Linked DNA regions of Lepisosteus oculatus. The protein of the gene in region 3 interacts with the protein of the main gene of each other region in a pairwise test. Links are inferred from orthologs where the notes say so. Each region holds a gene or a part of one and is shown on either strand. Other genes may lie near its edges.

Region 1 (7,867 bases), on a different chromosome or scaffold from region 3:
TACACATTGGGGAAGTGAAAATGTTTATTTTTCAAATAAAAGTAGCACTTGAGGTGTCCTGGGTGAGCTCGGGGAGAGAAGAACTTTTGCAAACGTTTTGAGAACTCTGTGATGCAGTTCTGAACATTAATGAAAATTGATTAATAATAATTCTAGACTAATGAAGACTTTGCAGACACCATAAGCGCTTTAGCTGCATGGTGGAAAGCATTCTGCAAAGCACACGTGGAGAACTGGACTTTAGAAACAAACTTCTCAATAATGGAACTTCAGGACATTTGGAGGACAACTGCAGCTACGAACTCTTTTTACACACAAGAGCAGCCACCAGCCCATCGCATGCCAGAAGGACACAGTGTAATAAAGGCCACTGCTAAGCTCAGAAGTGACTTGGAAAACAACCACCATCATTAACAAAGGGGCCGCCAACAGTGCATCAACACCCTGAGTTTCCCCTTTAACTGAAATATTTGAAATATGTCGACTTCAGCTCTGCTTGGCCCCCTGAAGAAAAAGCAGGCAAACACACACACACACAAAATATGTGTGGTTTGGTTTGAAGCCGAGAAACAGAACCTGGATTTCCCCCTTGTTATTCTGAATTCTCAATGCAACTCTGTCGCCACCTTGAGGAATCAAGCCACATAGGCAAAAGTGAACAGTTTTTAAACAACTTTATACGGACCGGAACACACTGACTTAAACTAAGTAAAAACAGAAGTTTCTGTTAGTAGAAACTTAATAAGACAGAGAACAAATGTTTCTACTCACTGCTGTACACAGGTGACTATATAAAAGAAAAAAACAAGTTGCAAGGAAATACTTTTTTCAAACTACGGGGTGTGGTGACCCACAGTCTCTCAGAAGAAAAGCACACAAGGCAGGACTCCGCCCAGGGACGAGAAACAGCTTTTGTAAGAGTTTTATTCAGAGCATTCCAGCCTTTTGTATTCAGAGCTGGGGAGGCACCTTGTTCTTGCAGAACAGAAATAAGTTGAACAAAGTGACCAGGACGGGTGGCACATTTATCGGCGCATTCTTGGACTCAATAACATGTCTGACGGAGAGACATATTATAACTCTTGCACATAAAATTTTAGATGACCCCCTCACATCCACTCTTTTTAGAATAGACTCTCCTCCCGTCTGGGAGGAGGTACCAGGTCCTCTGTATAAAGACTAAGAGAGCATCTAATTCCTTTGTACCTGAAAGCACTGACATTTTGAAAATGGAAGAAACAGTTGAACTTGAACTTTATTGCCATATGTAACCTGTCCGTGTACTGGTACAATGGAATTCTTACTGACAGAAAGTCTCTCGACTGTTAAAACAAGTGTTAAAGTTGCAGGTAGGGATCTAATTATTATTGTTGTTGTTGTTTTCAGACTGTGTACATGCTAATCATCTGTTTATTAATCTTAAGGTTCTTGAAGAGTTCTGACTGAGAGATGTTGTTGAATGTTGTTTTGTATTATTGTGTGGTACTGTGGTTGCATTATTGTCATATATGTTGTATAACTATGGGCTCTTGACACGCATGACAAATTCCTTGCAAATTAATGTAAATGACAAATGTAAATTCCTTGAAAATAAAGGTTAATTCATAGCCTGTGTCTGGGAGAGGTGAGGAGCACTCACCCCAGTTTAGCAGCAAGCAAAGAACTGCCTGTACGACAGCGTCACAAAAGTAAAAATGGCAGCTGGCAAAGCCATGACGATGTAAAAGACGCAGGTGACCTCACATTGGCCCTTATCACAAAAACCCCCGCACTATGGGAGACAATGAACCTACTTCCTGTTGTGGCTGCCCTTTCTTCTCTAGAATGAAATGAATCATGTTTCTGAAGTACATGAGCTATAATCTAGGAAAAAGATCCAGCAATTTTACACACACACAAAATTGTTCTTCCAACCGCAAGACACAAAAATGAAAAAAGGTAAAAACCCCAAGGGTGCAGCAGGACCATGAAGGGGGCGGCCCTCACCTGTGGCGTGGTCTTGGTGAAGACGTCCCGGCCCCGGATGACATCGCTCATCACGCGGTCCTTCAGCTGCCTGTACTCCTCCTCGCTCAGCTGGATGGACTCCAGCCGGGCCCTGCAGCTCCGGCACACGCTGCTGGACATGGGTGGACGCAGGGAAAGCCAAGGGAATGCACTGGCACGAACCGCCCACTAACACCGAGCAGCCAGGCTTAAACGCGAGTCACCGAAAATACCTGGGAGCTCAGCTAACTTTCACCACTGGGGTTTGTGCCACAATGTCATAAAGATACTACACAATGCGTAGGCACTGCAGTATCAAAGTGTCTTTCTTACTAAGCACTCACAGTCTACACTATCTACACATTTTTTCCACTGGGTAGCCGTTAGAGTATCTTGAGTGGTTTTGAACACTGAGGTGCTTGAGAAAGATCTTACTGTCTGATCCCCTGGACTGACCAGAAGCAGCATGTTCTGACTACACGTGACACATGGAACCAGCCATGACTAGCCACGTTCACGGTGGGCCTCGTGACTTCATGCCGCTCATTGTAACCACCAGCTGGCAAGAACAGGGTGAGGTGCTACTGTATTTCCTGTCAAGGGAATGATGGTGAAGCCACACTTTCCAAACCACACTGAGGGCATTAGAGAGATATTCGCAGGTACAGACACTGAATAATAAGCTTCTACAACACCGCAGGCCTCTGGTAACACAAGCAGGGATGACTTCACCAGACACAATAAATGTGCACAATCCCTTACCTGGTCTCAACAGTGGCCCAACTTCCTTCCCACATGTTACCTGGGAGACTTAAAAGAAAAACGCTTTATGAGACTTTAAGCCTTAATTTCCTAACAAAGCAGCACCACGAAGCGAAACCTGCAACAGGCTGCTGGCTCAAGACACAACAGCAATGACTTAATTTGGACTCCATTAACAAATGAAGGTGGAACTGCAAGTTGAAGTTAATTTTCTATTATCAGACAGAGAGGTGGCGACCAGCACTGGCCTTTAAACATCCACAGTCTTGCAGGTTTCAATAACTTTACTTCATCATTGATGACAATGCTAAAATTATAATATTAACTTATTATAAAATCTAGCAGCCGTCTCTGATTCAGAGTATGACTTTTGACACAAACCTCCATTTTCTTACAACTGTGTCACTGAATCTTGTGTTTTTACCTAACAATATTTCTAACTAGAAGCTCACTCTTCATTCATATAATGTGTTTTAATGTCTCTGCCAACAAAGACGGTGAAAAAGGATGAATTTATTCAGAGCCACAGCTGTGGCCTACCTTTCAAACCAGGCCCTGATGCTCTTTGCCAGTGCCTCTCCAGGATAGATCTGGTTGTCTCTCATGTGAAGCAGGATGGACTGAAGTTTGCTTTCATTCCCTTGGCCTGAGAAGCCACTATCGAACAATGTCTGCCATGTTTCCTGGTTGGGACTAAGCCCCGTTCCAACCATTTCTTCATATAATTCCCAGGCAGTTGTGCTCTCGCCATGCTGGACAGCCCCCCAGATCGCATCGCCGTAGTTGCGAGGGCTGGGGGTGACGACTTTCTTCGTGCTTTCCAGCAGCAGGAGACACTCCCGCCAGCGCTCAGTCCTGCTGAAGCCTTTAATGAACAGGCTGTAGGCCCCAGTATCCAAGGTCTTGAACCTGTGCCTCATGATGTCATACAAGTCGAAGACCTCTGCTTGGTGGTTTCCATGGACACATAGAGTCAGGTACCTCAGAAGAAGTTCATAGCTCACAGTCCCCGTTTCCGTGGCTACGTACCCCAGAAGAGACTGCGCCACATCAATGGCGCTGCCTGCTGCCAGCATCTTCTCCATCATCTTCACCTCGAAGCGCTGAGGGGCCCCGGCACTCTCCTTCCGATTCTTCCACTCCGCTGCCGTGAGCGGGCGGCTAGGAATGTCATTTTCTTTCGGCCTCCTGGGCTCCTCTGGCCCCTCAGCAAGGTGTTTTCCCTCTTTTCGCTTAAGGAGCTCAGCTGTTCTCTTTGCTGTCCCCGCTTCAAACACTGAGCTGGGTGGCTTTTCCCTGCTGGGAAAGTCTTTCCATTTGGTGCCCGAGTTCCTGTAGCTCCCAGGGAACTTATTCCTCTCTCGTGTGGACGAGCAGCGCACACGAGGAGCACCTGTGTCCACAGGTGATCGCACACTCGGGTGCAGAAACACCAAAGGTCTCGAATGACTGAGGAGTGTGCAAATACTTCTAGCATTAGTCCTTGTGTAGGAAAAGAGTAGAGACCCCATCTTTAATCTTGGGAAAGTTACTTTGCGAATGCGTGGCTCAAGCCTACAAAAAACACCGCGGTCTACAGCTTTTGACAGGGAACAGGGCAAAGTGGCTTTATTACTTTATAACTGCACCAAGCCAGGAAAGTCAGAATCCGTGACTCTCATTTCTGGGTGTAAGAAGCAGACGCACTCCCCAGTCAGATTCAAGATCTTTAATAAAACAGGCGTTTGAAAACAGATCACTTAAGTGTTTGTGGTGATGCAGCAGCAGGTTACTCGAAAGCTTCAACACATCGAATCTTCTGATTTTAAGAGTTCAACAATGTCAAGCGACTGAATGCTATTTACGCTTCCCTAATGGTCCAGGAAGATCGCTGTTTCATCGATTAATCGCAAAAAAAAAGAGAGAGTAACTCACATTACTTTACAAGCCATCGTTTACTCAACCACTCTGTACGAAAAATGAAAACGTTAAACCAAAGCACACTTTCCGACACACGCTGGATGACGTCATAAACAAGTGACGCGCCCTCCTGGGGTGAAAGGTCGATATTGCCCCGCCCCTTCACGCCGTGTGAACCAATCAGAAACAACTACAGTGCTTTGGCAACAAATCGTAAATGAAAGCAGACGGGAACTTGTTCTGAGAGATTTCGAGTTGTTCTGCTTAGTTATAATTGATTTTAAAGTTTCAATGTCGAGAGATAAAGCAATAGAATGGAAAGAAATTCTAAAGAGGAGGTTGGCAACCTCAAAAAAAGGTGAGTGAATAAAGTGTGCCTTTGTTTGACCTTTTTAAACCATCACTGGGCGATATCTCTATGCCTTATAAATGGATTTTGTTTGACAATTTCATCAAACTGTATTTTAATGTTAAAGGAAGTTAGACAATCGCAATCGCAAAGTTAAAATTTACAGAAGTTATTTAGCTAATTAACATTATGTTGTCAATTACGGTATTTTTTACCGTTGTAAATGTTATGTTGTGTAAAATCTGTTCAAGGCCATTGGATAAAACTTAAAGTTGCTTCGATTATCGATTCATAAAGTTTTGCTTCTCCGTTGTCTCTCAACTCAAATTTGCATAGTAATTTTTGTTATTAATATGCAAGTTATATTCACAACGAGTCGTAGTGCACGACTGTGAAGCGCAGAAACATGACTGTGCAATTGAAACTATAACACGCCGATTGATGTTTATTAGGGTTTCTTCAGGATCCTGGAGATGAGTACGGCACTCTCTGTTCATTTAAAGGAGATTGTGAGGTTACAGTTCTTTGTTTAAGAAATGTGTACTACAAATATTTTAACTATTCGGACAAGCGTCTTTAAATACTTCAAGCCAACGTCAATCCATCCCCAATGTAAAAATTAAAATAAGCTTTCTGGCACTAGTTGTAATATTTCAGGTGAAAATACTGTAGCATTAAAACTTTTTTATTTTTCACATTTCGTCTCTTGTGTTTTCTGCCCAGATGAAATGACGGAGCAGGAGAAGAAAGACGAAGAGATGACGTTGTTCACTAAGCACTACACAGAGTGGGGCTGGGGCAGGCGGGATCGCTCCTATAGGAATATACCGCGCTTTTACTACCGGGTGAGTGCGAGGGCAGCAGGCCGGCTGCTTGCAGTCTGATGGACCTGTGAGAGCTCTGTAACCTCTGAGCTCTTTCCTTGTGTGTCGAGTATAACACTCGCTTGTGGTGCAAACTTCAGGCCATTACTTGTTTGATGATTTTTGAATATCTTAGCTATCCCAGCATCGCTGTTGCCTTCTCAGTTCTTTTAAAGTAAAGTAAAATTATATATATTTTTTAAGGACAAAGAACATTAGAAAAGGTTACAAATGAGAGGAACCTCTTGGGCTTTCTAGCCCTTTTGGTAGTTAATAGGGGTGTGACCCCTGTGTCCCTGCCAAATTTCCTCCCGGGCCTTTATCAGTCATGGCCTCCCAGTAATCCCCATCTCTGAACTGGCTTCATCCCTCTGCTCTCCTCCCCACTGAGAGCTGGTGTGTGGGGAGAGTACTGGATGATGCTCCAGTACTTTCCCCACTGAGAGCTGGTGTGTGGGGAGAGTACTGGATGATGCTCCAGTACTTTCCCCACTGAGAGCTGGTGTGTGGGGAGAGTACTGGAGCATCATCCAGGTGGGGCTGCACACTGGTGGGGATGGAGTGGATCCCCATGACCTGTAAAGAGTGTCCAGAAAAGTGCTCTGTAAGTGTAAGGAATTAATTATTAATAGTTTATTCATCCAAAAAAAACCTTCCAGCCATTTCTCGAAAGAAGCCATTGAGTATTAGCCTTGACAACAACCTTGATTTGTTAGTGTATTACAGACTCCCACAGCCCTTTGCATAAAGACATACCATGCCTCCTGTTCGCCGTTTTACAAGCGCAGGGGGGCAGTAATACTCAAGACCATATTTTTATGGTCTTGGTCTTGTCATGGACGTTTGCACTTGGCCTTGTCACGGTTTTGGACAAGGATGGGATTTCATTTTTTCCCGAGACCGGTTGAGACCAGTTAAAAAAACACAGAACACATGTACATCTGTTGTAGCCTATTATTTTGCTGCCTCTCAAAAACATATTTCTGCCACCAGATGAACATTATACGCATCCAATAATAACCAATGATTGTCCGTTGTCCGTGATCAAAGGCGCCAGTTTTTTTTAAGGATGTTGTCTATACAGTAGACTACACATCATTCTGCCGAAAATGTCATCTACATTGTCGATACTTCAGTTCGCATGTGAAGCACAAAGAGTTCGTCTGCAAAAGGACACTGGAAAAAAAAACATACTGCAGAGTGCAAAGTTTTCAATACCTCAATTTAATGAATTATTTTTGATATGTGAGCTGATTGCTAGTTTTGTTACTGTTTAGAATGTTTGTGCTAACACTTAACGTTTGGCACATTCATGATGATGGCATCATATAGCTATTTGCGAACTGGTCTTGAGTTAGACACACATTTATTTAGGTCTTGGTCTTGTCTTTGACTCACCCCCACTAATCTCTTCCCGGACCCGGTCTCGGGCCGGACTCGGACTAGGTGGTCTTGCCTACAACACTTCGGATATGCACTCGGTAAGAGATCTGCGTTTTAATCTGTTTCCTGCAGTTGCCAGCTGAAGACGAGGTTTTGCTGCAGAAATTACGAGAGGAATCCAGAGCTGTGTTTTTGCAGCGGAAAAGCAGGGAGCTTCTGGACAACGAGGAGCTGCAGGTAGTTAATAAAAGTGCACCTGTTCCTAGCTTATTACACGGTTTTCTGTATATTTGAAGTCATTTCTGTGTAATATGTCTTCTCGTGTGCTATTCCCAGAGCACTGCTGAGTTGAATAAAGTCACGAATTGCGAGTCTGTTCCTCCCTTGTTCTCCCAGAACCTGTGGTTTTTGCTGGACAAACACCAGACGCCGCCTTCGATAGGGGAGGAGGCCATGATCAACTACAACGGCTTCCTCAAAGTCGCTGAAAAGGCAGGAGCCAAGTGCAAGTAAGTGGGAACGGACAACAATGTAGCCTACTGTGTACGTGATCTGAAACCCTGATCTCATCATTTTTGCAAGAAACAGCAAATCTCCAATAGGTTTTATAAGTCTTATGATGTTT
Region 2 (7,456 bases), on a different chromosome or scaffold from region 3:
CAAAGGAAAAACAGAATTATCAATAAAGATACAATGGTATCTACCAAAGGACTTTACAACTACACGTATCAGAGGCTTGTTAAGAACGTCCCATACAGACATCCCAAGTTAAGCATTGTAAGGTGAATACCCTTCTCAAAACACGTACTATGGAAATGATTTGCATACCACTAGTATAGTAAAATACGTCAAAAAAAAAAAGGTGCGTGTCCCTAATCGGCACAGCTCTCATCTCGTGATAGGGCGTACTTTATGACTCAAGATAAAGTATGTCTTCCTTAGGAAATGTTTGCCGCCGTATAAAGGTGTAGGGTTCACTGACAACAACATCGCATTAAGTCAGGACGTGTGGGAAATTAGGAGGAGCTATATGAGGCAATATTTTTGTAGAATACAAAAACCACTGACTTTACGATCTAAAACCCTCCTCCAATTTCGAGTTTGTTAAATACACTTACTGTATGCACGCGATAAAAAGGAAACTTGTTGGTTTGCAGAATGACACGGACGTCGGAAGACCAGTGGTGAAATTAGGTTGCTTAAAAAATCTAATTCGACAGTGTACAGAAATGTCCAAATAGCCTGAGCTTGACTTCAATCTTAAAATAAGAAAGGAAACCTGACAATGAAAGCTTCAGAACACAGCGCCAGTATTATATTTATGTTCAGTCAAGAAGAGAGGTTTTCAATTAATGTTTGCCATGCCCTTTAAATTTTTGGCATGATAGATAGATACTTTATTGATCCCGTGAGGGAAATTGCAGTGCAACAGCAGCTTAACACACACAACACAGCCACAGTGTAACGAATTATTTAATAATAGTACAATACATACAATACAATACAAGAGTTACTCAAAGTCCGGACACACAAGAACAAACTAGAACAGAACAGTACACAGAAAATCGTATCACACATATGAATATAAATATAGATGTAAATATAGATATAAATAGAAATGTATTGCACAGGTCCCTGGCATATATTGCACAAAAAATGGTTGTAAACGGGAAAAAGAAAAAGAAAGAGAACAGATGAAGCAGTAGATGTGTATATGCGTTTAGTCCAGAAACAGGTCACTGTCGATGTTGCCTCTGCCCAGACGCAAGGTGGATGCGTTGTACAGTCTTATGGCAGACGGCAAGAATGACCTCCTGTAGCGCTCCCTGTCGCACCGTGGATGAATCAGTCTATTGCTGAACGTGCTCTTCATTCCTGCAAGCCTGTCATAGAGGGGATGGGAGAAGTTGTCCATGATGGCCTCTAGTTTGGACATCGTTCTCCTCTCAGCCACTACCTCCAAGGGGTCCAGGTCAGACCCAATGACAGAGCTTGCTCTCCTGATGAGCTTGTTCAGCCTATGGTTGTCTGTCTGGACTTTTTTTTAAATTAACCAAATCATTTAAATAGGCCAGCTGCTGATGCTTGTCTAGTGATTGAAGACGCGTCTAATCATGGCTTCTGATTATAGCACTTAATTGTGCAGTATGATCTTGAATTAGACATTTTCTATCACAAATACAGTAACTTGTTTTATGTTCTAAAGTAGTAAAAAGCAATCAGTTCACCAGAGCCTTATGACAGAATGCAACACACTAACTCTAGTTTTGGATTGGCCTGCTAGAATAACTCTTCTATATAAAATACAAATGGCAAAAAAATAATGAATGTATGAAAGTAATGTACAAATACAGAGGGTCCTCATCACACGCTGGGGTTAGGGCAGTGGTGGCTGTCTGTGTTTGTAGTGACAAAGGTGTATTTGTCTGTATTTGTGGTGACAAAGGTGTGTTTCCCAGAGCAGGGTTGCACAAGACTGCTTTAGCCCTAAATGAAATACCAGAACGACACAAAGGATACAGACCTTTAATCCAAGGAACGCACCCAGCCGTCTCTTGAAAGACACCAGGGTGTTGGTTTCAACAGCGTGGCGGGGTAGCTTGTTCCACATTCCCACAACCCTTTGGCTAAAGAAATGCCTCCCGTTCTCGGGTTTAAATGAAATGCACTCCCACGCAGTTCCCACCTGTGTCCTCAGGTTTGATATTTCATTGTTCATTTGGCTCTGACATTGCCTTTGGAGGAGTTGGAAAACTCGCGTCTGGTCCCCTCACTGTCTTCTCTGTCCGGGACTCCAGACACAGTGGAATCAGCTAGAAATATGAGTTGCGTTTGTGTGAGGAGACTCATTCATCTCTAGGAGAAACGTACGCAGAACTTCGAGAGGCAATGGGGCTGAGCTCCACTTCACACCCACGCTTCAGTTAACCCCCCCACTATTTGTAAATTATGCACTAACTAAAGGGGGGGAAAAAGATTTTCCAGAAGCCTCTTGCTTCTGCATCCTGAACGGGGATTTTAATTCTTTAAATTGGTGATTAACGGGTGGGTTTAAGTTTAAAATTTAATCCAGGCCTTTGTAATATCCCATCCCTGATGCTCGATGGCCTTGGAAGTGCGGACTCTGGACAGCAGAGCAAGGAGGCAGAAACTGGCTTTACACGTGTCCGCCAAAGATACGGGAACATTCACATTGTCGTTCATGCGCAGAGGGACGAATTTACCATAAACGTCCTGCACTGACTGTTGTCTTGGAAAAACAGTTACTTCCAAATCATCGCCCTTGCCTGCGCTCAGTGAGCAACGTGATGTTAATAGATTTTAAATTAACAAATAGAACGGGAATCTTAAATGCATTAGGATTAGTACAAGTACCTAGGATAACCAGAAGATGGCAGCCGAATCACAAGTAAGTGCATGGTATTTACCAATCAGACTCCTGCCTAGCAACACCAGTGAAAAATCCCCATAGAACAGACTCATTAGCCTCACAGGAGTCAGACAGTAGCTACTGTACTGTACATGTTCAGGTGAGTTCACATTTCTGCACCACAAACACTTAAAAAACATGGCAAACTGTGTAAGCGCGCACTTTTCAAATCTGAAATGTCTGGATGGGTTCAGCAATCAAACGTCTCAACAAAAGAGGCGTTCGTGCGTATTAATATGGGGACTGAAGTCTATTTTTTAAAATTACTTTTCTGAATGATGGACAGTCATCGCTGGTGGGTTTCCAATGTGAGCTGTGTAATATTCTTGATTATTATTATTATTTTTATCTCCCTTTAATTTCCTTAAGAATAATAAACAAGAAAGTTAAATATAAAATTCTACGTTAGAATTATAAATGTTGTTAACTTCAAAAATCGTTATGAATCCACAAACATTCATGTTCCTGGACTGCGAAGTATTTTGTGTGTGGGTTTTGAACAAGTAGAGGAGATGATAACTAAGATTAAGAAATAAGGACAGGATTAAAGAGGATAAACAATATGAAACCGATTACTTCAGGAGTCATACCAGATTTGGGAAGAGTTCATGCCAAACAGAGGATTAAAAAAATAAAATGTTAAAAAAAGATATGATATTCAGAAAACACTGTCAGAATGAATGGAGATAAACAGTCGCCAATTTCCATTCCTTCTAAAGTAAGAGACAACATTAAAGACATTTCCATTTCAAACTAATTATATGAACGACAGCATAACAAAGAATCTGGCAAAGCAATATGTAACTACTGTATGTTTTTAAGTCATTTTTACTTGTAACATAACACTCTATTCCAAATTTATCAAGTATTGTATGACACTGTTTTAGTACATGACCGCATTTAGAATATTTTGATCAGCTCTGGTCTCCAGGATACAGAGAAAGTTACTGGTGCATTACAATCAGATCACAGGAGAGTAACCAGGTACATGGTCCATGAGCTCAAAGGACTGTCCTACACCGGCAAGATTAAAGAACGGAAACTTTTCCAGCTCAGGATCTAGCTACTGAGTCCTGTTGTTGGATTTGATACTCTTACTTCTTTCAAGAATAGGCGTGCTGAGATCCTCTGATCAATTAACATCTGAAGGTCAACTGTTCCAGTTGGTCCAAAAGACTCTCTCTCATTTACAGACGTTTACATTCTCACGCACAACAGGACGAATCCTGTTATCAACTGTTTCACACTGCTGGGACAGTGGATTACAGCTTTACATCTGTAAGGCGATTCCATGCTAAATACCTGGAGTGAATACCTTTGTAAATAAAGATGATGGTTCATGAATGCGGGAACAGCATTTATTTGAAAGTTTTTTTTTTTACTAATTAATAAAGGTTTACAAAAACAACATGTTCAGCTACAGGAAGGCATTTTATTGGCACTTGGAAAATGTACTTTACGCAGACTGTGATACTGTGATACTTGGATACTAATTATTTGCACTATTAAGTAGTTTAGAAGTTTTTTGAAAATAAAATACCAACAAACTCTACAGTATAGCTCCCAGGGACCTTCGTAATCAAAAACAATCACAATGATTTTTTTCCCCCGTTTCTCCTAATATCAGTGCATCCCCTAGCTCAAATCTGTTGATAGCTTAGGCAGGGCATGAACCCTCCCGCTCCACGGATACACGATACGATGCGTAAAGACCAAAACGGAGCTTTCAAGAAGGCGGAGGCGATATGTGCAATTTGTTCAGACGAGGCGACCGTGCAGCCTCGCTTGTTCAAGGTCGGCGCTGCTTCTGAAGGCAGCAGCCGGCTGTGCGTGACAGAGGCGTCGCCTCTCCGCAGTGACGCAGCGCACCCCAGCCGAAGCGCAGCCTGTTGAGCTGCCGGGAGAGGGCTAAGCTCCGAGATCCTGCTCCTGTCAGCTTCGGGACGGAAAACTTCTTCTTCTTCTTTTTTTAAACTCCAAAAGGACATCTCGGCACGCGTCAGGCTGAAGGGAAGAGCGCGAGTGAAATCATGTCTTGGTGCTCCGAGATAGAGAAGAACTCCACCGAGGATGATTGTGTGGACTCGGGAGCTGAGACCGGAGGGTGAGTCGAGACTAGCGGGGTACAGCCGACTAGCGGACTACGAGGGCGAAAATGTTCTGCGCGCTGGCTGCAGCCTTTTTTCTCTTCTCTCTCTGTCGCAATCACTTGGACCGATACTGGAAAAGACCGGCATAACAGAGCAGCCGAGTTTAGTGTACAGATCCTTCTGTCTCCGAAACCACGTTAAGGTATTTTGACAGCGCACAGGCTGACGTAAAGTTCCATCTCGAAATTGTTTATGAGCACCAGAGAACTTTAATAACTTTTTAAAAGCCGCACTTCATTAGCTGAAGGATAACCTCATCCACCTGCTGTGCGCAGTCACAAAGCAACAAACATCTGGCTAAAGCCATGCTCCATGTCGGATGATAACGTTATGATGTATTCGCATAGATGCGCGGTTTTGTGGAAATACATACGACGCAGAAGGATTTAACGTTCTGACATGTATTTAATGTCCGTTTGCAGCTTTGGTTACTAAGCAAAGATGATTGGTTCTGTTCCTGGTGTACTGCTAGGTATGTGGCTGTTAGAGCAGTTTCTGAATGTGCTGGCGAAGGTGGTTCTGTGTGTGTTAGTAAGTGTAGAGCAGGGGTGGCCAGCCTTGGCTCTTGGTTTCATTTTGAGCCTCCCAATGAATTCATTACTGAATTGATTCTTAATTGCTTAATTAATCCTGATGCTGAAGAGCACTCAGATAATACAGTAGGATTGTCTTTAGGATAGACTCGCAATGCAGTGGAATTGAAGAGCCAAGGTAGACCACCCTCTGTTTTAGAGACTAGCAGTCTGTAGGATGTTGATGTGCTGTGATTACGTCCTTGATTCTTCGTGAGTGTAATGAAGAGGGAAATGACAGCTGTGTTAATTTTAGGCATGCACTCCTGGTACCATGCAGTTCGGTGTGATTCACAGCCCTGTAGTTTCATGTGACCACCTGTCAAGCACACATTATTGATGTACACTTGAAGTGTACTTCAAGTGGAAATCTCAACTCTATAAACTTTACAAAGCTAGTGAAAACATTTTTTTTTCAGTACAACTCTTCTCAAATATTTATTTTCCATCATAGATGCATATGTTACCATAGGTTGGAAAGACACAGGGTTAGGTTAAGATTGATTCTTAAAATCATAATAACACTTCATAATAACTATGTCTTCAGCATGGATATTCTTTTAAGAGCACTTTACTCATTCCTGTGTCACTGCCTGTGTTAAACTGTTGAAGATACCTACTATCAACCCAATGAGGAGAGTGAGCTGAAAGGCATCCTGTTATTGGTAAACATTCTTCCCTTTTTATGTTTCTCTTTATTTTCAGTCTCATAGTGAGGTTATTTTGCTTTCTATTATTTTATCATGGCTTAAGCAATAATAAAGCTGATATGGCAAGTGAAAAGCTCATTGTCAAAGTCTGTGACTGGTTGACAGAGATGCCTCTCCAGATGGCCAGTGACAGCACACATCCTCTTTAAAAAAAATAAAACACACACCCCGATCATTTTGGTACCCGCTGTGCCAACGTCATTATGCAGATTTGCTGGATAATCCTTTGAGAAACAATGGTTTTTCTCATTAGTGTCAGAAGGAGCATGTTTGTTTTTCTGTTCTATTCTGCCAATAGAATGCTTTGTTTTTTACTTTCACACGATATCAGGTTGTTTATTGGCTTTCTCTCATCTGTGCAAAATTTACTGCTTGAAATATTTGCTGATGTTTAGCTGTGTATTCTAGCATGTATAAGGTCATCTAAAATGTTCCTTTTCCCTGAGATAAATGGATGATAGAGAAATTCTGTATAGTAAACAGTTTTCTAAAGATTCTAAGGTTTATTTAATCAAAACCTTAACCTGTAAGTGTCATGAATTAGCCCAACAGTTATTAAGTATCCATAGTATTAGTTTTTCAGGCCTTTTTTTGTTAGGTTTGTATTCATTAAAAGCACATGACAAATTTTGGCATTATTGCGTTTTCTTATGTAGAGAGTTGATAGAATATAAAATACAATGAAGGGGAAAACAGAGGCTGTTTTTAATCTGGGTTCAGGTGATGTACCTCTTTATGTGCATTTTATTAGTGGGATCATAAAAATTCAAGACCAAATTGCGTAGGTTACTGCCGTGGGTGACTCATAACAATGTTTTTAGTTGTCCATTCCAATAAGGGAAAGATATAATAGTTAAGATAGAAGAACTGTGTGTTGGGGCACCTGTTGATGATCTAAAAATTAAATGTGTCTGAGTATTTTACGTCCACCAGGAACACGTTGTGTTCCCCGAGATTCTGCAGCATTCTGGAGTGCATGAGTATGATTTGGCACAACACTGGAATCTTCTAAACATTTGGGCCTGAAGTTCAAAGGCAGAACATTAATGAGATGTGCCAGCTGACTGCGCTGCGCATTGCACCTTGTGAGCTGGACAGGCACTCAGTGTAAATTGGAAGCTTAGGACAAACATTGTTTTGCTAATCCAATCAGAAGAGAGTCTCTGGACAGACTCCTCTCTGCCTTTCCCAAATGGGTTTGATGAGGACTTAGAACATTTTGTAATGCAGGATAATAGGATGTTAGCCAGCTTA
Region 3 (7,840 bases):
CGGGACTGGTCACTTTCAGAGCAGGTTCAAGTGGGGCCGTTTCTCTACCTGGGGAGTTGGAGGCTGAGGAAGCGCAGGCTCCGTGGGCTGAGGCGGGGTGTTTTCGGGGGACGGGGACTGGGAGGGCCCGAGGGTTAATGGAGGCACCTGGAGAGTCGAGGGACCCGGTGAAGGCGCCCCGCCCTTGTCCTCCTCCTGGATGGAGGGCATGCGGGAGGCACTGGCCCGGCCCTCGGGCAGCGGCCTGGACTCGTGAAAGGAGACGGCGTAGGCCAGCCGCCCGCAGTGCATGGCCAGGTAGTCGGTGTGGACGCGCAGCAGGGCCATGATGCCGCTGTACTGGTACAGCTCCTCGTCCCGGCGGGCGTACAGGTTGCTGCGGGGCGCGTTGGTGCGCGGGTAGATGGCGAAGAAAGCTTCGCCGGATTTGGTGCCATTGCTCGGCTGCAAGCCTGTGAGCCGCAAGGCCTCGACCTTCAGCCTGACGTCGTGGTTTTTATCATTCTTGCAGAAACCTGGAAATGTACAAGGAAGAACCAACACAAACTGGAATTCCAATTCCAAATTCCCGAATTAAAGCAAGCATCCGACAAAATCATCAGGATCCACATCTTTTGCATCTGTTTGGTCAGGATGAGGAGTCAACGGAGCCCGTTAATGGTCTGTGAATCTAGTTTCTGTGTCTCACTTTCTCAAGTTCGAGGCTTGGAGCTATTCATAAACCATGAAGCAATAGTCAGATGTGAATTTTTTAAGCTAAAAGGGAACCATTTTAAAATATTTATTGCGATAATCATATTTCTTTTTCTTTACATAAGACCCGCATTAAACCATGACAAGATCAAATTTGGAGACGACAGCAAAAAAAAAAATTAAACTGCAAAAAATCTCTGAACGCAATTTTCTTCTGGCAAGAAACACCTTTTTACACCAGACGATTGATCTTAAAAATGTTGCCATTACAAAAATGAAGATTTCAGAGGACAATAAAAAAATAATATTATCACATTTCCCTATATTTTAACTATTACCAATTAACCATTTAACTTTCCAAATATCCCCAATATGATATTTCTAAATCTTTTCTCAAATTTATTTTTGGGTAACTCATGTTCAAATTCAAACAACGTTTCATACAGGGATACAGATTTGAAAAAATATTGAAAATTATTCTATTTTTAAAAAGCACTGCTCGTTAGTGAACATGTTCAGAGGTGTTCCATGTAATTACAGCCATTTCAGACAAGCGTGTTATATTAGAATTTCTTGAAACAGCAGTGACATGCATTAATTAACTTTTCGTTATAACACAGAGGAGCTCTCACCTCTCCTGTAAGGTGTGTGTGAGAGACAGAGGAACTTGTCAGTAGTGATATATTCTAGAGAAATGCAGCAAGATCTTACCAGCAGTTTTTTTTAATGGATTTAAGATGCATGGCTGAAATGATCAGGAATATCAATTCATAGCCAGATTTATTCAAAACAAACTGCAAACAACACTCCAGTAGAGATTCTGTACTTTTATCTGATATTTCATTCTTCTTAGGTTACAATTATCCATTTCTAAATCAGTCATACAGCAGATTGTCGGACATTTTGATTTTATTTTTTTCAGCCATAGCAATCAACTCACTGCCACTTAAGTTAAAACGTTTACATTTAGCAGTTTTAGGTCTTCAAAACCATTCATAAGCCTAGTGGCACCACACTGTTCTCTGCCTGTACACCTAGACACAAAGCCACAGCCTCAGCCAAAAAAAATATCCATATAACAACCAGGTTAATTTGGCGCTGAAAAGTAGAAAGACGACTCTCGCATTCAAGCCTATTCATCCATTTAAGATACTCACATTACTTGGCTAAAAAAAAGGACTCTTTGACACTATAGCAGGGGTGTAGTGGATCCAACTCTGGTCATTAACAGCCCAAGTCCAGCAGGTTTTACAGAAAGGTTTCTTTAAAATCTCCATATTTTTAAGAATAGGAAAGAGGTCTCAGCTTGTCCATTTAACAATTTTTACCAATTAGGTAATTTTACCCATTAAGGTAATTAAGGTCATATTACATAATAAAAATTCAAAAAGGATCAGGGGACAATCAGTTAAGACATGGCTGCATACTGTACTTTCATGCACACAACGATGTAATAATCACCCTGGATTGAGGATGTGGATGCTTGCAGTACCTTTGGGCAGGGTGAAGAGAAACTTGTAGCGAAGGCAGGTGTAGATCTCATCCAGGCTGGCTTGCTCAATGACATCAGTGGTCCCAGTGCTGGTGTAGAGGACGTCACCATCATTGACCCTCAGCTGCACGCCAGTCCCACAGTCCTCCAGCAGGGGGTTCTCCACGGTCAGCCTCAGCACGTAACTGCCAAGCTCGTTGAACTGAACATTCACCACCTCAAACTCAAAGTCCAGCTCCTTCTCCTCGATCTTGAGACGACTTCTCTGCATCGCTGCCCGTCCAGGGGTGGACTTGTGGGCAGTAACAAAAATCTACAAAAAAGGCATGTGCTTTTTTACTTTTTGTCCCATGAGAAAGATTAAAATGATATGGTATTCACAGCACAATTTCAGATAGTAACTGTACCAGTTGCCAACAGCTGTACTTTATAAATTAGTTTGGCAAAATGGATCTTGTCCACACTGGTATCTGAAGGCAAAAGCAATCACTGTGAAGGATACACAACAGTAAAAGACGTGATCATTTCTGACAACGGCCATTATAATACATTCCAGTAATATATAATAGAAACAAGTAGACAAAAAAATGAAAAGATTGATTTTGAGAGGAGAAAACAAGCTGAAATTATACAATGCACGCCCCGGTTACCAGGCTAAACAATCATCCAGGACTTCATTCTACTTCTAGAAATACACAAACACCAGACATCAGAGAATCTCACCTTTCTGTCGGTTCTGAAACTGGAACAAAAGGTTGGCGTAAAAGGGGGAGATTGTGAGATCGGCTGCAGGTCAGGTTTTGAAAGTTTTCACCTGGACATTTGTTATGCTTGCAGCTAAGGAAGCCAGCACTAAGCCAATCCCACTGTGTCTTGGAAGCAAACAATGCAGGTGATTTGAATGAAGCTGTTTCCTTTCAACAAACCTCAGTGATACACAATGTGTCGTGTCTACTTCCACTGTGAACAAAGGCCAATGCACAGTATATGATCCATCAGTTTTCACATTGTATTTACATCTTACAGTTAGGGGAAAAATGCCAATGACATTCAAAAGGGGAGACTGTGAGACCGATTGGAGTCAAAGTTTTTTTAGTTTTCACCTTTGCATTTCTTAATCAGCTACAGCCTTCTACAGTACATTTAAGGTTTCAAACGCCAGAGTTTCTAGGTTACAGCGGTGTACATGTATAGTGTAGGTTTACCTTACAAAAATTAATATAAACTGAAACATAAGAGAGGTTTCAAAGGAGGCCTACACAGCCCATTTGGTTGGTAGTAGCTAATTAAAAGTATTACATATCGATCAAACACTAACCTATTGTGCTTTTAGAGTATCAGTTCCTTTGTGACTGATAAAAGCCACACCTTTTTTTTTTGACTTGATGTATATTCATCAGGTGTCAGTGAAGTAACCTTATTTAATTAATCCGGTTATTTAGCGCTATTGTGTGCTCACAGCGACAGTGGACATAGTTTAAAGTTTCACCTGAGATTGCATCATGTGCGCTGACAATGTGACTTGAAGATCACTAGCAAACAAGTTTCTGACCTATGAACTACATGCTGGGAGCTTCGTATGTGGACTTTATTACTTTTTTTCGTCCAAACTCGTTTGTATTATGGAAGGTTAATTTGAAATTATAAAGTGCTTCTTTAGAAACTATTGTCTGCGCAAAAACAAATGACCGGTAAGCGGGGAATGACAGGTAAAGACTTTGCTATTTTAAAGTAACTAATTTGTGATTTAAATAAATCGCATACCCTTCCTTTTACCTGAAACTGCACGCATGTGTTTGGGAAGCACACAGCATTTCTGAATGTGCCGAGTAAACAGAATAGGTGTTGATAGCGAGTGAATTATTACGTGATCAATGATTAGTCTACACGAAATTGTTTATCCACGTGTTCACCGTTAAATTAGTTTCATGTAAAAAAGACATGTTTATCATTCAGATTAATTTTCTAATTTTTCTTAACGATATTGATTTTATACAGTATGTTTATAGTCTAAATGTGGGTGAATTTTTCCATTAAAACACTTTTTAATACCAACAATCTTAAAGAGAATGTTAATTCTAGCTAAAATTACTATACAACAATAACTGTACTTAACTATTTACATTTGATTGTTTTATATTCTTACATAATTAAGCTTGGGTTCAGTGCAAGCCGATGATTATCAAGTTGCTTATTGAGTAAAGAGTGTTCCAAATTACCTGGCCAACTAAATCTTTAGAAGCAGCCGTCTGATTTTTTTAACTTCTCCAGATTTTATAGCCAATAAAGAGACTAACGAGAACGAAATCCATGACAAGGGGGGTTAACAAACATGGTTTATATAAAATTCTCATTCAAATTAAAATTATTAAACCACCCTTAATAGAATTCGTTTTATGTGTTAATATCATTTCTGTGATTTAATGCCGAGATTACTAGAATTAGTTAAGCGAGTTAGACGTGTTGTTGTTTTTTTGTAACTGACATGTATTCAAGTGTAATTTAAGGATATGTTATGAATAATTACTTTAGTAACATAGCCCTTTGTATTATTACTTTAGCTCATCCGGTAGTCTTTGAAAACAACACACGCACAATGCAGTCGATAGTTTCGTCAACACAGAGCATACAGTACTACCCGAACCGAACAGACATTGTCTTGGCAGAAAGCTTAAAATTGTGATTTTGTGTTAAATATCACAACGACTTCGGTTCTGTGTGGTGTTAAAACGCTATGGATTCGATAGCGAATGTTGTTAGAACAGGTATTAAATGTCATTCGTAATGTCGTGTTCTTGAGAGAATTATGTACCACTGAAACTTAAAACGGGAAAACCGTAGCCAAGTTTCGTGCCACCCTCTTTCACACAACTCCCAGAAAGATACGGCTTCTGGCAGCAACTGTAACTACCCATCCGTTACAAACATGGGGACTGTAAGCTTGTGAATTGCTTATGAGCACATACTGTAGGTCACATAATAAGCATCCCTTTAATGAAAGCAAGATTGTCTCTGATGTGGTTTTCAAAGTCGGCTTCAGTCAAAGCTACCGCAGAGGTTTCAGAAAGTTTGAGAGCGGGGCGGGGTGAGGGAGAGTTCTCCATGCTCACCTGTGCAATGCTAAATCCGAGTGACGATTTTTCCCCTCTAGTTTTCAGACCATAAAAATAAAAAGGCCCATTGTTGGGATCTGCAGAAGATCAAACAGTAGACATCAGAGGCAGTAGCTCTGCTTACTGTCTGGTCTCTTTATTGAAAAAGTAATGTATATACATTCTGAATCAGGAGCACAACTGAAGTCCTTTGTTCTGTGGCTGAGGAACAGGATTTTTATTGCTGCATATTACAGTACATCAGAGGAGATGGTGATTTGGGGTTGTGCTTGCATGCTTTCTGCAAGGGGAAAGACGTTTGACTTTTGTAAATAACACCTAAATATGTAAGGCCTAATTTATGTGGTAAATGGAGAACTGTAAGATGGAAAAAGACGTATTTTACTGCCGGATGTTATCTATGGGAGTGAGTTTAAACCTGAAGCATACCATACTTGTTGGAATCTGTCACTATTCTATCTGGACAGACAATAGAGAAGCAGTCAGATTCTCAGCATAGGATTCACCACATGATTCCCTATGCCAGAGAAGTGTGCTGTTTTGTAAAGTTGCGCTTTTGTGTGTAAAATATCTTTTGGACCTCTACATATCTCTATAAACACTGGGTGTTTCATGTACACTAACACCCTTTTATGTAATGGTCACGTGTTTATCAAGAACTAATTTGCATTGAAAATAAATCTTTACAAATCTTTGAAGGTAGTGAGATAACGGAAACCTTTGATAGTGGATGGGTCTGTCATAATCAAAGTATAATATTCGTGTCATATCCATAGCTATCATATTCAAAGTATACCAGTAACCTAGACATTACAGTAGGTCATTTACAGTGACCATTTGAGTTTTGAAAAGTAATTATTTTTTTCCAATATTTAAGGCTGTTACCTACTGTATATTTTTTGTTAAGAAAATGGTATGTTAGATCCATGAATTGGAATACCACATCTGTTTTTTTTAAACTATTTGTAGAAACTGTAATCTATGTTCATTATTTATGTCATAATTTTCTTTGTTTTTACCTGTCTAGTATACAGTAAAAATATTTTATCTTAACTTTTTAAACAACTCTTAGGTGTGTCGTGGATGTCTGTAGTTTTTAGATTGCTAAATACATATTTGTTACCTGGTTGTTTTTCTCTGTTCTGTTTCTATCTAGTGTTCAAGAACTTAGATTTCAGAGTTCGGTGGTTGGCAGCATTTTACCAGCTGGTTATGTGGACAATATTATCATGGCAGAGAGATATTTATCTCTTTTTTTTTTAATTAAATGCTTTGCTTTGTCAATTGGATGTCTAGTTAAACAGCATGGGACCCGTTTTATTAATGGCCAATGTAACTGTTCCCTGGAGGAGCTGAATGATTAGGTTGGATATGAGGTCATTATGGGGAACATAAATCTTCCTGCATTCACAGCATTGGTGTCATTTTGATCAAAAGCTTTCCCTGCTGGAAAAAGGTTAGAGCAATAGAGAGAATCGCATTGCTGTTAAGCAAAGACATAGTGTACACCAGTGGCGAGTTGCGCTCCACAGTCGTTAAAACAAACTAATTTCTTTTGCATAAATTAAAGGAATTCAAAGTCTGTGCTGAGCTCAATTGTGTCCTGATTTGCTTGAGGTCATGTCTTTAAAAACCAAACGATTGGAAATGAAAAGTTTGTTATGGCCAGCTGGGATAGAATGGTTTTTGAAATTGGGAGAACTGCCTCCATCTTACTCACAATGCTATAAGAGTATTGATTATGTTGATTGAAAAATGACTTGTGACATAGAATAGACCCCTCCTAGACCCTACAGTATTTTGTTTACAGGCATAGCAGGATGAATTCATGGTCATGTGATCAGGGTGCCTGCTGGCACATACTGCTATGTCTTTATGGAAGCACTACACTTGGTCTTTAAAATTAAAAGCTTTTCAAATCTATTGTATAAAAATTGAAACAGGGCACTCGGCCTTCATGAATTAGAAGCATAATATTGGTTAAGGCAGATGCTGAAATCTGTAACCAAATTAGATATTGTTTATTTTTTAATTTAACTTGGCCATGCTGTTTATTTACTTATGTTTAGACAGTGCCTTTAAATTGTATTGATTCATTATGCTTTTCCAATATGCATCACATCCATGTACAAATAGCTACAGCTCAATATAACTGGCCAAGACAGTATATAGTGGTGTAATAAGTTATCTAAAAAACATTTTTTTATAGTAACTCCTTTTTTGCAAAGGGGTTATTGTTAATTTGGGTATGAACTTGTTGATGTTACTTTGGAGGAGTTTCCTAATGAAAGTGTGTTAAAAATTAATTGTTGTCCATAACCTTTGACCCTAATCCTTGTATAACATGAAATACAGGTCAGCCCCTGCGATTTAGACAGCACTACAGAATTTAACTCTCTCACCTCTGCTATAGGATAGAGTAGTTATCAACAATGCACAGAATTTATCCTGCATGCAAAATTAATTTATTGCCATCCTTTGCCTACTGCAGAAGCTCTGGATACTGAGGCTTAGATAAAAGTGTTGTTGGTGATGTCCAATT
Region 4 (7,504 bases), on a different chromosome or scaffold from region 3:
ACTGGCTCTCTGAGGAGGGAGCAGGGTCCGTTCGTGAGCAAGAGAGCCAGCAACCGATTGCCACACACATCGCCAAGAACAGGGGGCAAACAGACACAGCAACTGCACTGCGGTGAAAAACCTTTTAGAAACCACCTGGGTAACAATTCATCTAGGTGGTTTCTTGTGCCCCCGTCTGGAGGTTTTGGTTGTGTTTGCTTCCCAGTTTGGACACTTTTTTTCAATTAGCTGTCAAACAGAGGAAGCTAGCTGAGAAGCCAAAAGAAATGTGCAAATATAATGACAAAAAGGTGGATCTTCAGACAAAGAATCTGCACAGCCGCTAAAACACACTACTATTGAAATGAGTACGGGTGTAAGGGGTATTGTAATTGTGCTATAGTTTCAAAAAATAATCTTTAATTTGTACATGTAATCAGTACTCTTTGTAAAATAATCCTGGAAACAGAAATCTGAAAATCAGGTACGCTAGGCTGGCTGCTAGGATTTGGCTGCTAGCAACTACATATACAGTCTACATATACACTGAAACAATTTTGACTGCGCTTGAAGAAGTGACTTTTAGAAACTAAGCATTTTTAAACATTATGAGTATCAGAATGTTGAAATGTTGTGAAGTTTTCTTCATGTCAAAAAATGTCGTCACCCAGAGGTCTGGCAAGCAGGCCGATTTGAGGTTAGATGATGGCATACAGGCATTGTTGTGAACTTTACAGATCCAATCAGATGATGCAGCCATGATCCTGACTTCAATACCTTGCCTGCCTTTGTGGAGCTAGCATGTGTTCATCATATTCACACTGATTTTTACTAGGCACTCTATAATAGTATAATTTCCTCACATCTCTCTCACTGGTGACCTTTCTGGTGACATTTGCTGTAGATTATGCATTACCATCATTCCCCAACAGAGGGAGCAGCTTCCCACGAAATAAAAAAACACTATATGCGCAGTGTATGCCCATATATCTGTCACAGGGCACAGGGAGAAGGAAAAACAAGGTTTTGTGTAAAAATAAGAGGTGAGTGGGGAATACAATTGACCCTCATTTCACACACATTTTTCTTAAAATATATTTTGCTCCTGCATCATCTGTTTAAAAGCAGCAAGGATGTACTGTATATTTATTAGGTTATGACATTTCTTTGTTTAAATAATAGAAAGAATAGCTACAGTTATTTACTTAATATATACCTAATGTATTGTGTATACGATATACAATAAAAGTGCAAAAGTAACATTCTTTTTTATCTGAGGTATATATTTGGCCTTCCATGGTTTAGATTTCCCCAGTACAGCACATCTCTGTATTGGTGTGTTACCTAGAATCTATTAAAAGAAACTTATCAAAAGTTATCATATAGTCAAAACAAAATACAATTAATGCATAAAAATGTGGAGTAACCCAAACTTTACTACCTGAATTTGCACACTTACAGATTGCTGTCTATCAACTCAAAGGGCATGGGTTCTACACATCTTTTGTTAGTAAGGATTGAATGAGTATTGTCACTTAATATGCATTATCCTATTCTGAGTACTTAACTAAAGAATGAGCTAGTGCTAGTAGTGATTATTACATTAATGTCTTCTGACACTGGGATCGCAGTAGTGATAAGAGAGCTAGTGAAAATCTACATCTCAAATAGAACAGAAAACCTCAATAGTCTTTTTTTTAAACCACCTAGTATACATTATCGAAACACTGCTCTTGTAATTTCTTTACACAAACTAATTGTCAGTGCATTTTAATCTACGTCATTATGCTGTTTTGCATTGCCCCTTTCTTAAAAGGCTATTTACAATTCATATACCTGTTGAAAATGTGATAGTTTAATTACATCTGGCGCCTGGTTCTGAAACTCGGCTTACGAAAGCAAACAGTTCACAGAATGCAAGGCCTACTGTAAAAGAAACTATCGCCACAGTCATTTCATTACTGCCAAGAAGACTTAAACATCAAGCTTTATTTGCCTCTGACTCAATCCCACAAGTGAAACTAATCTTAAGTGACATTGCTTCTAAATTCTAATTACTTTTTAGATCTAGAGTTGCATGTTTAAGATCACAAGAGATTTTACTCAACATGGCCTCTGTCTTTGTTAGATATATAAAGTTCAGTCTTAAATTATTTCGGATTAATGGGAAAAAAAAGCTCTAAAACCCTGGTGGTCACAGGTATGAAAGTGACAGATAGTTTGGATGTTGTTTTGGGGTAAATTCTTTCCTTAAAAACAAAAAGTGCACATGCGTGAAAAGAAACACTGCAAGTCATTAGTTTCAAAGGCATCACCATTGCACTTACTCTGACGCCTCCAAGCTTTTCCTTTCAATAGCAGATGACATTCCAAGATGTTCCTTGCGGGCAATGACGATGGCATCAAACACCTTTTACTACTGCGTCGGGAACTTCGGCTTTTATAGAGGCTCCTGCTCCTTAATCCGGCGGCACGTATGCTTTATATCCCCACTTCCGACTCCTCTCGCATATTTCTTATGACAATATGATTTTTCGGCAAGAACTGCACCTGTTCATCTTATTCTATTTTCTAAAAAAAAAAAAACAGCACCAAAGGCAAAGACCGTGGAAATCGCGTTTACTTGAGCTGTACAGTTCCTTCCTACAATTTATATATTAAAACATACATGTAAGACCGCAGACGGGATCCTTAAACATAATTTACAATTTTCGATATTAGTAATTATTATTATTATTATTTCCTGGAGATCATAACATCCCATTTGCTATACTGTTGTCCTTGTGCTTACGGCTCAAGTATTCTTCAGCATTAACAGTGAAGATAGCAGTGAATATCAATGGCTGCTTAAAAATATTTCTTATTCCCTCTGTCATCCCTTACCGTCTCCCTTAATCTGCGGTTAGTCGCGGGGACGGCTTTTGTACGGCAGCTCTCTGTACCGTAGGTATTTTTACATAGCTCTGCCCCTTGGTTTCTGGTTTCGTTTCCTCTTTCCTGCTCACGACTCCTTCACAATCGAAGGAAACGTGTTTTAAAGAGACAGGGGCAGCTCATTTGGGGATGTGAAAAAGCGTAATGCAAACAGCCCGGGGCTGCCCAGTTGAGAGTCTGCGGAGTCGTGAGGGTTTTTTATTTCACTGCGGAAAGAGCTTGTTTTTAGCTAGACGGTTTGGCTTAAAGGGGCGTAAAATGACATTTTACCAAGAGGGTAAAGTCGTGAAAGGCACCGCATCACTAAACGGTGATACCCCCTCCTCGCGAGCACTTATTTCATCTACATAATAAGCATCTACTTATTATAACATTTTTCTGTCTCTCAAGACCTGCAAACTCTTTAATTGTCTATTTCACAATGTACAAAAAAAAACCACATATATGTCTGTGTGTGTCAGAGAGTGTGGGACAAAATATTTTTCATTCTCCTTTCCCCTGATACCTAGATACAGAGATTCTCACTGAAGAAGCCGATTATCACTGGATGGTTGGCTTGTATTGAAATGGAAAGGCGATGCTCGTAATCTTAAAATCACTTGTTCCATTGCCTTATTCTTCTTGAAAATGAAAAGTAAACCTTTCTAACAAAATCTGTACATTCTCAGATGTAACGAAGTTCACCTGCTGGGTGCTTCCTGAGCAGAAGTAGTTAAGTTCATAGAAGGGACTCGCTGAGTTCTGAGTAGACGAAGGCAGCAATTAAACCCATTAAAAGTAAAGAATTGCAAAATAACCGTGGGGGCTTTCAAATGGGGAACAGCACAGAAGGAGGGTGCTGAAATTAAGCTCTTTCAGAGCCAATATTCAGAGCTAATAAGGTGATATTCTGCAATACAAGGACTAGTGTTTTTGCTGTTTGAGGTGGCTTAAAAATCTGTGTGCAATTGCAGTTTTACACGAGGCTGCATCTGAATCCCGTATTTTCATCAGGTGTTCAATTCAATTATTGTTTAAAATGCTTCTCCCCTTATGGAGGCAATAAGGCGTATTTAAAAAAAAAAGAAAAATCACTTCTCAGCTGCACCCCAGTCATGATTCAGGAAGAGTTCAACAACTATTAGGCCACAACTTTTATGTTGTCTAATAGTTTTAAAAGAAAAGACATATTGGGAACAATATTTTTCTATGTTTTCACTGCCTTTACGTTGCGAGAATTCCCTCATGAGTATTTAGTAATAGCTCTGATAGTAAAGGGGAGGTTGCACAAGTGAATTTAACATTTTTTAAGGTTTAATACCCTAGTTAACAGAAAGGATGTTGAGGCCGTATTTAAAATACTGTAGAGAGCGTTTTGCACAACAAAACACTGTTTCTCCTGGCCCCATCCATCCAACTAGGCATTTCAACGTCAGCTCTCTGAGGGTAGACTCACCCATGGGACAAACAGGGTGGCCAGATGGTCAACTAAATTTAGCTAAAGCAGGCAGACGAGGCTCTGCGTGTGCTTGAACTCTCCCCTCAGGAGAATGCACACGAACAATGGGTTAACCCCCTCTGCACTTGTTATTCTGAACCCCACCCTGCTGCAGCTGTTAAAAGCGTTCCTCTTATCTGCTGCCAGGGCTGCTCTGCTGCCTGATTCTAAGGAGGCCAGGGGCCTGCAGAGACACTGGGCTCTGAGATACTGTAACTCCCAGAGCTCTGTGAAGGAGATATACTGAGCAGGGACCAGGGCTCCCTAAAAGATTTGGATGCTGGAAAGACATCACTTGGAGTTACACTGCTGGTTTTTTTTATTTGGCTAACTAGCACATAAAAACATGACCTGGTGCCAATCACTCAAATTCATTTTGCACAGACTGGTGCTACTATGATTTACATCTGAGTGAATGAGAGGAGGATGTCAGTGTCACTTTTGGTCACTTGCCCTTTTTCTTCTGCTAGGGAGATTTCATTTCCTCCATCTGTCACAGTGAGCTAGAGATTTAGTGTAGTTATTATTTACAGGAGTTCCTTTATCAGTCCCTCACAAAAGCAAGTTACAAATCTCTGCTTATGGAACTGGTCTGCGTGGTGGTAATATCAACAACAGTTTGTCTGCGTACAGTATTTGCTCAAACTTATTTGCTTGTATATGTTTCTATTTATTTTATTATCGAAAAATATGATGAACATGATTGACTATAAATACTAAACTATAAAAGAAAAATATTACTCGATGCATGTGTTTTTTTAAATAAAAATGAGGTACAGATTTGGGGTATATTTTATATGTTTTTGGTGTCATCGTGATTAGCTGATCACTTGTGACGGACTCAGATGACTGTTAGATAATAACCTCGGGGTTGAGGGAGCTGATAAGACAACCTAACCTATTGGACATGAAGGACATGAAGTAAGTTAAGAAATAAGAAGACAGAAAGGAACCAGTATTGAAAAGAACAATGCCTTTGTGCCGTTGGTAAGTTGGCATATGGGCTGAAGCTGAGCACTGCCACTTGCCTTCTGGGTTTCAGCCATTTCTAAGCTGCCCAGACTTCTCTTGCTGCTCTTCCTGCAAGCTCATCTTGAAGTGATAACATTCCAGCAGGATCGTGCACGGCCTCATGCTGCTTGTGTAATCAATAGCTTTGTTGTGTGACGAGAATGTTACAATAATGCCAGACTTCCCAGACTTCCCAGCTGGTATGATATGCAGTATCTAGGACTCAGAAGCCAGCAAACAGACACATGCTTGAGCAAGCTCCATGAGGAGAATAGGTCAGAAACCCACAAAACAATATCTACAACCTGGTGTAAAGAATGCATGGCAGACCTACAGCTTCCAGACTTGGCCACACACACTACTAGCCTGTGACTTCCACAGCAAACCCCCTGGTGATCAGTTGTGATCAACCCTGCAGATGACAAATGTTGATCAGAATAATGAATGAAACTGTCAAAGCACCTGCCACAAAAAAGACCACTGTCATTTCCCTCATTCTTTGCATTGTTATGTAATACATTTCTTCTTAGGCTCAGTACATGTGAATAATGCCAATTCTGTGTCCAAGTTTTAGCCCAAATGGAGACCTGGTGTTTGTCAGTCTCTACAGAGTCTGTATAAAAATGGCAGTAATAATAAATGAGTGAGAAAACAATATTCTTCATTAATTACTTCAACTTAGAGAGCAAATGCTATTGTTTCAAAATGCCTTAACCTATTGTATATGCTCTCACTCATTGAACACCTGTGACTTGTTAACAATTTTAAAAGATTTTTAATCGAGCAGTTCCTACCCTTTTATAGTTGTTTCCGTGTGCATTGTGTGTTACTTGCCAACAAGACTTTTGAGTAATTTTGAGTAAGTGAGTAACGGAAGTGTCCGTTTTCAACACAAAGGAGATTTTCTTGACCATTTTTGTGATTGACCAGTTATAAACCCTGTCAGTACAGGAATGAAAGAGTTTACTATTACCTACAGATGCCTTTAGTTATGATTTCCGAACAATCTCAATTACCATGTCGGTTCCATGCTGGAGCCAAACTTTAAACAACGTGTACAATTCCAGCAGGACAAATCTGTGTATATGTCTGTAACAGGTATCATTGTATAATTATATTCCACAAGCTTTCCCCCCTTACAATTATCCCGATAATTGACCTGATGCATAATATGTAAACAGAAAATGAATAAAAATATGGGTGAATTAAAAACAGATTGAGCAATTCCGTTAGAAGACACAGCTGAGATTGCATGGTAATGGAGAGCCGAAAGGCCTATTGCAGAATTGACCAAACAAATCTGTCCACAACGGTTGTTGCTGACACAGCTTGTCTGTATCACCCTGGAAACAGAACTACAGTACCTGACTCAAAGTAAATGATTCAACACTTGTTGTCCTTCCTTCCCCTTTCTTTTGGCACTGAGAGCAAGTATATTGACTTGATTTCAGATTTCGTCTACAACACCCGAGTCAGCGATGCTTTTCAGTTGTTCGGTATTTCTGAACTAGGAATTAATGTTCCTTTTAGGGTAACACCTTCAGTTAATAGGCAAAAAGAGACAGTGGCCTACTGACATACGTAAAGAGGATTCTGAACATGATATCAATATCCCTACTAGTTCTTCTATTGCCACAGAAATACTAAAAGCTGTGGTTGTGTTACATTAAAATTATTCAAAACAAACTGTAAGAGTCAGGTACATATCAACAATGTTCCAGTCCCTGCCCATGTCAGACATACAACTGGACCCACCCCAACATTTTTTTCTAATTGTTGAATCAGTTCTATAACAGGATTTTGAAACTATGAGATTATATATATATATGTTATTCCTTAGCCTTCCCGCTTCTAGCTACTTGGAGTTTAACCTAGATGTGGGAAAGGATTAAGAAGCAGGGAGACGCTGAAATGCTCAGCTGCAGAGGACAGATCCAGGACATTATTTCTATCCACTTTCCAGGGAATTGACTGGATGAACCAGGATAAACAGGAAGTGAGCGAAGACCGAACTAGCAGGGGGCACTGCTGTTTGCTGTTCCGACTTCCTGCCTGTTGCGCATCGCCATCCTGCTGAGCTCTGATAGGACGACTCTGTCCAGA

The links.
Region 1: the proteins of ccdc33 (region 3) and ppp2r3c interact in a two-hybrid assay, tested with the Homo sapiens proteins (2 studies listed by BioGRID and IntAct). The two-hybrid records come from large-scale screens. The link is inferred for Lepisosteus oculatus from reciprocal best matches to the Homo sapiens genes CCDC33 and PPP2R3C.
Region 2: the proteins of ccdc33 (region 3) and protein FAM124A interact in a two-hybrid assay, tested with the Homo sapiens proteins (2 studies listed by BioGRID and IntAct). The two-hybrid records come from large-scale screens. The link is inferred for Lepisosteus oculatus from reciprocal best matches to the Homo sapiens genes CCDC33 and FAM124A.
Region 4: the proteins of ccdc33 (region 3) and lmo2 interact in a two-hybrid assay, tested with the Homo sapiens proteins (2 studies listed by BioGRID). The two-hybrid records come from large-scale screens. The link is inferred for Lepisosteus oculatus from reciprocal best matches to the Homo sapiens genes CCDC33 and LMO2.

What each region holds. Positions count from the first base shown.
Region 1 is NC_090703.1:3,321,344-3,329,210, forward strand, and holds the start of ppp2r3c (serine/threonine-protein phosphatase 2A regulatory subunit B'' subunit gamma), read left to right. Parts: upstream 1-4,848; 5' UTR 4,849-4,938; coding exon 4,939-5,005; intron 5,006-5,719; coding exon 5,720-5,841; intron 5,842-7,374; coding exon 7,375-7,479; intron 7,480-7,638; coding exon 7,639-7,751; intron 7,752-7,867. Other genes in the region: prorp (mitochondrial ribonuclease P catalytic subunit), read right to left, coding at 1,987-2,119, 2,749-2,796, 3,289-4,259. UniProt on the Homo sapiens protein: May regulate MCM3AP phosphorylation through phosphatase recruitment. May act as a negative regulator of ABCB1 expression and function through the dephosphorylation of ABCB1 by TFPI2/PPP2R3C complex.
Region 2 is NC_090710.1:30,451,544-30,458,999, forward strand, and holds the start of protein FAM124A, read left to right. Parts: upstream 1-4,450; 5' UTR 4,451-4,800; coding exon 4,801-4,874; intron 4,875-4,892; exon of another isoform or gene 4,893-5,392; intron 5,393-7,456.
Region 3 is NC_090700.1:59,238,800-59,246,639, reverse strand, and holds the start of ccdc33 (coiled-coil domain-containing protein 33), read right to left. Parts: upstream 3,010-7,840; 5' UTR 2,909-3,009; intron 2,499-2,908; 5' UTR 2,457-2,498; coding exon 2,186-2,456; intron 516-2,185; coding exon 49-515; intron 1-48.
Region 4 is NC_090716.1:11,136,473-11,143,976, reverse strand, and holds the start of lmo2 (rhombotin-2), read right to left. Parts: upstream 3,008-7,504; 5' UTR 2,863-3,007; exon of another isoform or gene 2,551-2,862; 5' UTR 2,348-2,550; coding exon 2,307-2,347; intron 10-2,306; coding exon 1-9. UniProt on the Homo sapiens protein: Acts with TAL1/SCL to regulate red blood cell development. Also acts with LDB1 to maintain erythroid precursors in an immature state.